Arabidopsis thaliana: one gene and its partner. The protein of the gene in region 1 binds, or shares a complex with, the protein of each later gene. Each region holds a gene or a part of one and is shown in the gene's direction. Other genes may lie near its edges. The genes, in order: JAZ10 and MYC3.

What was found.
Region 2: the proteins of JAZ10 (region 1) and MYC3 are in contact, whole or in part, in a crystal structure (PDB 5T0F), measured with the Arabidopsis thaliana proteins. Residues at the interface, in NP_568287.1 of Arabidopsis thaliana: Arg34, Ser35, Phe36, Arg37, Ile39, Gln40, Gly41, Ala42, Ile43, Ser44, Ile46, Pro48, Ile50, Ile51, Lys52, Leu54, Leu55, Ser57; in NP_199488.1 of Arabidopsis thaliana: Gln53 (codon at 1,869), Trp92 (codon at 1,986), Asp94 (codon at 1,992), Gly95 (codon at 1,995), Tyr96 (codon at 1,998), Tyr97 (codon at 2,001), Lys98 (codon at 2,004), Gly99 (codon at 2,007), Glu100 (codon at 2,010), His117 (codon at 2,061), Arg120 (codon at 2,070), Val121 (codon at 2,073), Ile122 (codon at 2,076), Glu124 (codon at 2,082), Leu125 (codon at 2,085), Asn126 (codon at 2,088), Leu128 (codon at 2,094), Ile129 (codon at 2,097), Ser130 (codon at 2,100), Glu142 (codon at 2,136), Glu148 (codon at 2,154), Trp149 (codon at 2,157), Phe151 (codon at 2,163), Leu152 (codon at 2,166), Val153 (codon at 2,169), Met155 (codon at 2,175), Thr156 (codon at 2,178).

The regions. Positions count from the first base shown.
Region 1 is NC_003076.8:4,216,657-4,221,533, forward strand, and holds JAZ10 (jasmonate-zim-domain protein 10), read left to right. Parts: upstream 1-2,171; 5' UTR 2,172-2,344; coding exon 2,345-2,456; intron 2,457-2,533; coding exon 2,534-3,028; coding exon of another isoform or gene 3,029-3,033; exon of another isoform or gene 3,034-3,278; coding exon 3,279-3,340; coding exon of another isoform or gene 3,341-3,383; 3' UTR 3,384-3,806; coding exon of another isoform or gene 3,807-3,846; 3' UTR 3,847-4,257; downstream 4,258-4,877. UniProt on the Arabidopsis thaliana protein: Repressor of jasmonate (JA) responses. Interacts with and suppresses RHD6 and RSL1 transcription factor activities to negatively regulate jasmonate-stimulated root hair development.
Region 2 is NC_003076.8:18,972,519-18,977,403, forward strand, and holds MYC3 (Basic helix-loop-helix (bHLH) DNA-binding family protein), read left to right. Parts: upstream 1-1,503; 5' UTR 1,504-1,712; coding exon 1,713-3,491; 3' UTR 3,492-4,072; downstream 4,073-4,885. UniProt on the Arabidopsis thaliana protein: Transcription factor involved in tryptophan, jasmonic acid (JA) and other stress-responsive gene regulation. With MYC2 and MYC4, controls additively subsets of JA-dependent responses.

The DNA.
Region 1 (4,877 bases):
TTATTTTAATAAATTTGGCCCATTGATTTTACTTTTTTTTTCTGAACCAAGTAATCGATACGAGACCACTAACCTGGCTTTTATTCATCAATCGATGCTCTCTCTACACGTAACCTGCTTCAAAACACTCATAGTTCGCCGGAAACAATCACTCGTATCATCGGATCTCGGCGTTTAGAATTCAGAATCCGACGACTTTGGCGAGCAAACCTTACGCAAACTATGGATGGTATTGGAAATGAACGACAACAAGAACAACCGTTTCATTTACAGATTTACTTCTTCAAATGGGCTTTTCTTCTCTAAATGGGTTTACTACCTTAAGGGGCTTTTCAACTATAGGTTCAATTATATTCTTATGTAAGGGTACTAACTAGTGTGGGCTGTAAACGACTTAAAGTTTCGGCCATTTAGTTTTATGCAAGAAAAAAAATATAGATAATACAGTAATGATGAATCCACTATACATGTTAAATCCAATATAATAAATCCACTATACATTAGTGTTCTCATATTTCGTTTCAAGATTCGATTCAAAAAATTTGAAAATGTTAAATATGTGTTTCTGAGATTAAAGGCCAAAAGAAGGGTAAGGTCGTATATGAAAGGTGGACAGAGGGGCAAATTAGTCAGCTTGAAAAATACATCGACATTAAAAATCGGCAGCACTGACAAAACGTGTGATAACACAAATAAAAATAATCGGAAGAAAAAGAATAAATAAGGCGTATTGACTCTGGAACGTGAGAAGATGAAAGAGAGCGACGAAAACCTCTAAAGACTTATCGAGAAGTGCACCTTAGCCTAGTGAATAATGATATGTATTGACATTAACTACTACTACTACAGCTCCCAACACGTGAAAGACATGCATCTAACTCTTTCACTTTCGGTTGCCAAGAAAAAAAAAAAAAAAAAACTTTCACTTTCGGCATCAAATATATACTACTAAAAAAGTTTTTTATACGTAATTCTTTTTTAATATTTGATTAGTTCAGAATATTAATTAAAAAAATTACTTTTCGTAATCACTACATTTTGTAGTTATATGATTTTTAATTTAAAATAGTAAAAAGGAGAAATGTAACTAATTAAGCTAACATGCGCGCGATAGAATAAGGTGAAGTTTAAATTTGAGCACAAGATAGAAAATTGAGGTCAATTTAATTCGGAAGTGGTTCAAGGTATATTTTCACAAGAAAGAAAAACGTGAGTTCATTGAATCCCTCTATAACTTTACTTGAGAACAATGTAATAATATGTAAATCTGTTAGGAAACGAGCAGCCACATATGCTTTAAACAAGAGAACAAGAAAAAGAGCGGCCACATGTGAAAAAAAAACACCAGCCAAAATGTGAAACTAAGAAAAGAAAAGAAAAACCATCGACATCGTCCAAAGGATCGACCCGTCTTTTCTGGTTTGGCAGAAAACAAACTTCCAAGTTCCGACTTGACCTAGTCTTTATGCATCTGCAGTGGTGTTTTCTTTAAATCTTTTTTTGAATGGATTTGAAAATCTTATTTTTTCTTCTTCTTTCAAAACACTAACTGTGAATCACCACCAACATTTTATTGTTCTAAAATCCCTATTTGTATGTTTTATTGGTTACTTTCCCAAATATGATGAAAGTTTATTGGTGTACTTTAGTTTAGAAATGTAAGAAATTTCAGTTGTATTATTAGGTCAACCAAATATTATTCTTGAATAGTAATGTCAAATTTTGTTTATATTGAAAAATCAATAAGACTGATATCTACTAAATGTGATTTGCTATACTAGTAGAGCTAGTAGTAGCAAGATTAAAATTCATATTAAGAAAAAATGGAAAAGAAAAACATGTTTCGAGAAAAATATACAGATCAGAGACTAGAGTAGAAAACAAATATAATGTCAGAAGAACCCAATGTGACGAACAGTAACAGAAACATGTTACCAAATTTTTGAAGATATATTTTTATAAAACATTACAATGTTCATTGGACTTCCGTTATTTCCGGATATAAAATATCTTCTTTCTGCGTAGCAAGCAATTACATTACATTAGGTATATTAAGAATTTAAACATGTGTTTTGAATCATTAAATTAATTAGATAAGTAAGAGAAGAGGTTGGGAGCCTAATAAAAACAAAACAAAAAGGAAAAAGTGGATAGGTTGCCAATTGTGCCGAAAAGAAAGAGAAAGCATGAACCTCGTGCGTTAAATAAGTATCAGAGACATACTACATTTTAAAAACTCTCACATGAGAAATCAGAATCCGTTATTATTCCTCCATTTATTCATCTCAAAACCCATATCTCTCTGTCTTGATCTCTCTCTCACTTTCTAATAAGATCAAAGAAGATGTCGAAAGCTACCATAGAACTCGATTTCCTCGGACTTGAGAAGAAACAAACCAACAACGCTCCTAAGCCTAAGTTCCAGAAATTTCTCGATCGCCGTCGTAGTTTCCGAGGTTCGTTTGGTTTTTAGTCGCTCTCTCTTTTTTTTTTCTTGCGATAAATCGAATTTATTCATATGGAACTCCTGCAGATATTCAAGGTGCGATTTCGAAAATCGATCCGGAGATTATCAAATCGCTGTTAGCTTCCACTGGAAACAATTCCGATTCATCGGCTAAATCTCGTTCGGTTCCGTCTACTCCGAGGGAAGATCAGCCTCAGATCCCGATTTCTCCGGTCCACGCGTCTCTCGCCAGGTATTTTTGTCTTTCCGGTAAAGTTTTTTTTTTCTTTCTAACTTTTTTGGCGCTACCAGAAAAGACGAAAAAATTTGAAATTCAAATTTTCAAAACATTCATTTTCCTCAGGTCTAGTACCGAACTCGTTTCGGGAACTGTTCCTATGACGATTTTCTACAATGGAAGTGTTTCAGTTTTCCAAGTGTCTCGTAACAAAGCTGGTGAAATTATGAAGGTCGCTAATGAAGCAGCATCTAAGAAAGACGAGTCGTCGATGGAGACAGATCTTTCGGTAATTCTTCCGACCACTCTAAGACCAAAGCTCTTTGGCCAGAATCTAGAAGGAGGTTAGTATAATAAAAATAAAAATCACTTAGTGCTGGATTCTTCTAGAATTTTAGTTACATATTATTGCATGTAGAGATCTAAGAAGAGTTTGTTGTTAGAGAGGAATTGGTTGCTAATTAGTTTGGAATTAGATATCAAAGAGTTAAAGACTATAGTTTATGTCTATACGTATTAATATACGTTATTAATAAAAGTATAAACATGTTGTTTAATTTCTGATAAGAAACTGGTTTATGCGTGTGTATGCAGATCTTCCCATCGCAAGGAGAAAGTCACTGCAACGTTTTCTCGAGAAGCGCAAGGAGAGGTAATGATTCTTCAACAATCCAAGGATTTTTACCCCCAAATAATTAAAGAAAGGTTTTTATTTTTCTCTCTCTCGACCTTTTTTTTACTATAAGTTATTTAAGATAGTAATTATGGGTCCTGCCTCTTTTACTCTCACATACAACTTAAGATTCAACTAGTTTTGTTCAACAACGCACATGCTTATACGTAGATAGATAATGGAGATCAGTAGTAATATCGGTATACGTAGGTTACTATTGTAATGGAACTTTTAAAAAGCGCGTTGACTTTGAGTCTTTGACTCTAGTTCTGTTTGCTACACCGACAAGTTATATTTTTCAAAATGATGAGAAAACGAGGAGAAACACCGGAAAAAAATTTGAACTTTTACTTTTATCAGACCATACGGCCAAAGAAAGATCTGTATATTATATAAGTTATCACAAAACGCGGTTTCACATTTTCTTTTTCGTCTTGTTGTGTTTGCAGATTAGTATCAACATCTCCTTACTATCCGACATCGGCCTAAACGATCTCTTTTTAGATTGGGACATGGACCAAATTTGTCTTTTTCAATCGGAAGACATCCATGTTCGTTTTTGGATTTGGCTTATTTCCAATCTTCTTTTGAAGCCTTCTTCGTCGTTGCTAAATCGTATACTATTCACGACAAACGTTTTTAGGAGATTACGTTACCTACTAAGATTATATATATTGGTTTGTTTTTAAAAATGTCTATTATCTTTATTGTCATTGATAGCTTGATTTAAGAAGCTCTCTCTTATCCCGTGACCTTCTACTTTTGTTTTATTTTTTAGTATATGGTAAAGAAAATTATAACACGCCTCTTTTAGCTTCTCATGAAGCTTCCGTATCAGAGTATTATTAAAGGAAATGTGGCCATTCATCTTTGATTATATTGGTTGGTCTCTAGCTTGGGTTGTCCTAATTGTTATAATGGAAAACAGTTTAAGAAACACGTGAGTATTAGTTATATAATACTATCAAGTCTACCCGACTAATTGTGTCTTTATGTCAAAAGTCTTTTAACATGAGTTTGGTGGAATTTGTACATTGGAATGAAGATGAAAAGAAGTGGTAAAGTGAACGTACTTTGTGTGGCTTCTTTTAGACAATTACCCCTTTCATTGAATAGTATCCATCACTAGTACTAACAAAAAAGGGATGGCTGGTCCGGATTTAAGAAACAAAAACCACACAACCATTCACTGCGTCTTCTTTATCATTGAAACCAAGATACTGTAGCTTATTGATATGAAATAAATACCACCATGTGCATACGTGAGAGTTTTTTTATTACATGTAGTTTCTTAAAAATGTTTTCGTGTCTCTTTAAGTTGTGTCAAGTAAATTGCTTCTCATTTAATCTACTGCGATGACATAAACTTAGTTTGCACATTGCAATGGCTAATGAGAGTACTAAACTTACATCATGTTGTTTAAGCTTTGAAGATGGAATACCGTATATCAAGTTTTAATTAGTAGCTCTGATTCAGATGTTTGGTTTAGATTCAGATTCAGATTAGTCAAGTGTTTGGC
Region 2 (4,885 bases), about 15 Mb from region 1:
AAAGTCGTTTTGTAATTACATCATCCACGAGAATCACGTGAGCTGGATCATTTTAGCCATCGTGATTAACCATTGAATATTATTGTACATGTTGTCCTTTTCACTGACTACTTTTCTTCTTCTTTCTTTTTTTTTCTGGATATTTTGTTTATAAGTAATGGTTGGCATTATCATGTGTAGTTCTTTGTCAATAATCATGTGTAACTTTGACAAAAAAATCATATGTAACGTTTTAAAAAATTATATACTTTGGTTGGTCATTATAGTTTTAGCCAAACGATAAAAAATTTGATGAAAAAAATGTGGTTAAAGAAAACTTACAGTATACCGTGACAAAAATATGAAGATTGTTAATAAATAGATATGTCAATTATGGTGACAGAAACATGGAAAGCAGACAGACGATGCCTAGACAGAGGACCCAAACAATTAAAGTGGGCTACACAACATAATTCCAATATTTAAAAAAAGAAAAAAACAATTTAAAATGTCTAAGAAAAAATAAATTCGAATATGAATTTTATAGAGAAAATACAAATTTTATACGTTAATTTCTTCCTCTTTCAAAAATTGAACGGAAGTTGCTATGTTGTTGGATACATTATTATTTGAATATATATTACAAATAATTTTTAGGACTAGCAAATCATTTTTTGAGTTTTCTTTTTATGGTTTTCGTAGTCAACTCCACAACCGATAGTTTTACATCGATGCTTGTACAATTTTACAGTTTGACAGATGGTACTGTACTACGACATACGGTTCTATGCACCACACTAAAATCTCTAGATAGAAATCGTTTCCATTAATCTTCAATAATTTGTAATCTATGAAAATCAAACTTCATATATGGTGTGATGAAGTATTAATGGATATTTAGTTAACCATTACACCAAAAAAAAATTTACACCGGATAATTATTTGAAAACGTAAATTTCATATTAACGGTTCAAACTGATTTTTAATAAAATGAACATAATGAAATGATATTTAAAAAAAAAAGATGATTGGAGAAAGAAAACACTTTTAGTTTTTTCATATATATTTATTTTCCTATAACTAACATAAAATCAGTTGAAATATTATTTTAAATTCCTAACTTAATTGATATAAATTGAGTAGAATCTATTTTTTTCCTTTTAAAAATGCAATTCTTTTTTGCAGTTTAAAATATTAATTTATATGAAAAATAAAATTTATATTTTAGATTTCTAACTTATGAAATTTTGAATTATAGCATTGGTCCATATTCGAAACTCTAAGTCACTATATCACCATAAATGGATTATTTATTAGTTTTTTCTCCATAAAACAATAAGTGGCTATGTGATAATAAACGGATCTAAGTTATGTTTCAGACAAAACAGTGTCCAAACGAGAATTATCACTCCATGAATAATTTATTTACGTTTTCGTAACAGTTAACCAAATTATTATCGTTTGGTTTTTGTCATATAATATGTCGCAACTCTCAACAAAAACTTAAGAAAATAAGAAAAAATTATTTACAATTGTTTTAGAAAAACAATAAAAATAAAATATAGTATTGTAGAGAGAATCATCTTCTCCAAACAATCACTAAACGCCATTTGCTTAGCTTTTTCCCTCTTTTGATTTTTCCTCCCTACACGTCACCTCTCTCTTCTTCTCACCGGAAAAAAGTCTTCACCTTTCACCGGAAAATATCACCTTTTCAACCGGCGTATGTTCACATGAACGGCACAACATCATCAATCAACTTCTTGACCTCCGACGATGACGCGTCGGCGGCGGCTATGGAAGCTTTCATTGGAACAAACCACCACTCATCTCTCTTTCCTCCACCACCACAACAACCACCTCAGCCTCAGTTCAACGAAGATACTCTTCAACAACGTCTCCAAGCTTTAATAGAATCCGCCGGAGAAAACTGGACTTACGCTATCTTCTGGCAGATCTCACACGACTTCGATTCATCCACCGGAGATAACACAGTGATCCTCGGCTGGGGAGATGGTTACTACAAAGGAGAGGAAGATAAAGAGAAGAAGAAGAACAACACCAACACGGCGGAGCAAGAGCATCGGAAAAGAGTAATACGTGAGCTTAACTCGTTAATCTCCGGCGGAATTGGGGTTTCCGATGAATCAAACGATGAAGAAGTAACAGATACTGAATGGTTCTTCTTAGTTTCGATGACTCAAAGCTTCGTTAACGGTGTTGGTCTCCCCGGAGAATCTTTCTTAAACTCTCGTGTGATTTGGTTATCCGGGTCTGGTGCTTTAACCGGGTCGGGTTGTGAAAGAGCGGGTCAAGGTCAGATTTACGGGTTAAAGACGATGGTGTGTATCGCGACTCAAAACGGCGTCGTTGAGCTTGGTTCGTCGGAGGTTATAAGTCAAAGCTCAGATCTGATGCATAAAGTTAACAACTTGTTTAATTTCAACAACGGTGGTGGAAACAATGGTGTTGAAGCTTCTTCGTGGGGTTTTAATCTGAATCCAGATCAAGGAGAGAATGATCCAGCTTTGTGGATTAGTGAACCGACGAACACCGGAATCGAATCTCCGGCGAGGGTTAATAATGGTAATAACTCGAATTCTAATTCTAAGTCTGATTCTCATCAAATTTCTAAGCTTGAGAAGAATGATATTAGCTCTGTAGAGAATCAGAATCGTCAAAGTTCGTGTCTTGTCGAGAAAGATTTGACCTTTCAAGGTGGGTTGTTGAAATCTAATGAGACTTTGAGTTTCTGTGGTAATGAGAGTAGTAAGAAGAGAACTTCGGTATCTAAAGGGAGTAATAATGATGAAGGGATGCTTTCGTTTAGTACTGTGGTTAGATCAGCTGCGAATGATTCGGATCATTCTGATCTTGAAGCATCTGTTGTTAAGGAAGCGATTGTTGTTGAGCCACCGGAGAAGAAGCCGAGGAAACGGGGGAGGAAACCGGCGAATGGGAGAGAAGAGCCGTTGAATCATGTTGAAGCAGAGAGGCAGAGAAGAGAGAAGTTAAACCAGAGATTCTACTCTTTGAGAGCTGTTGTTCCTAACGTTTCGAAGATGGATAAAGCTTCGCTTCTCGGAGACGCGATTTCGTATATCAATGAGCTTAAGTCGAAGCTGCAGCAAGCGGAGTCTGATAAAGAGGAGATTCAGAAGAAGCTAGATGGGATGAGTAAGGAAGGGAATAATGGGAAAGGTTGCGGGTCAAGGGCAAAAGAACGGAAAAGTTCGAATCAAGATTCTACGGCGAGTTCTATAGAAATGGAGATTGATGTTAAGATCATAGGTTGGGATGTGATGATACGTGTACAATGCGGCAAGAAAGATCATCCCGGTGCTAGGTTCATGGAAGCACTTAAGGAATTGGATTTGGAAGTGAATCATGCGAGTTTATCCGTTGTGAATGATTTGATGATTCAACAAGCTACGGTGAAGATGGGGAGCCAATTTTTCAATCATGACCAGCTCAAAGTTGCTTTGATGACGAAAGTCGGAGAAAACTATTGAACAAAGTTGGCATATCAAAGAGGGGAAACTAGTGTTTTCATCGATGAAATGGGATCGAATTTAGCGGGTAATGTATGGTCTTTTGTAAAGTAGTAAGTACTCATTTTGCATCACTCGCTTCATGTTGTTAAATGTTGTTGTTCATTAGGAGAACTTGCTTAGTTCTTAGCTTAGTGTTATCATAAGCCTTAAGTGAGAAGGAAGTTGGAGACTAGAAGACCAGAGAGAGTTAGCGAAATAATAAAATCTTTGGTTGTACTTGTATGTATATATATGTATGGAGTAAGATTAAGTGAGATCCTAAATTCTATTGAAGTTTTTTTATTCTATGATTGAATTTTTTTGTTAGTTTGTAACTTTGTAGTGTACATAAAGGTCCAAATTTATGAACTGTAGTGTACCAAAAAGCTGAGGAAAATAAGTGGTTGTAAATGGGTTTTGCCTAGAGATAGTGCTCTTATCTTTGTAAGGGGGTATGAGGAAACTGTTTATAATGCCAAAAATGTGGAGACATGTGTGATTTGTTTGTAAAAGAAACTAAAAGTTAAACCAAAGATTTGTTAGTTTTAAGTAATGAGTAGGAAGTCTTTTAGTGCCTATCTTATCTTATCTTATGTGTGAGTTTGAGTATATCTCTATGTTTAGAGAGCCGTGTGATCTACCTATGTTTCTTAATTCTTATAGTCTTGTGTACATTAGTAACGACTAGTCTTTAAGTAGTTTAGTAACATATATACCGCAAAAATCAAGATTTTCCGAATATTCTTTTTGGAACTGAGTTTGTAGTATCACAATTTGAATTTAAATCCGAAAATTTGCTAGTAGGTTTAGTCTCAAATTTTTGTTTAAACCAAAATGTGAAGGCATTTGATTTTCTGCAAACATGAAGAACATTTACTGCATAATCAACAATGAAAGTTGCCAATAAGCTACTTTTCTCCACCATTGATGAGTTCTAATTAAAAACCACCAACTTAAGTTTTCATAATAAATTGAAAAATACTTTTCATGTAGTACCATAAAGTTGACCCCTCCTCTTTAAAGGATGTTAGAAAATTATAGCCATCTTTCATCTATCTTAGGTATATGTATATTAAATAGTTGTTCACTCATTCGTTCACACTATAATTTTGTAATGAAAATATATATGACAACAACTATTGTTAATTCTTACAAAATTTGTCTTTGATTATAACCAACGACCAAAGACAGAAAACTCTCTCATTTCTATGAAGGTTATAGTTGTTAATTAACGTGTGAGGCGATATCCCTACTTACACATGCAACGTGTGTGTTACCCAAAATCGAATTTACAAATATACACTTTTCACTAAAATTAGATTAGTTCTCGTTAGTCTTTTACTAAAATAAAACAAGAAACATATTACTAACTA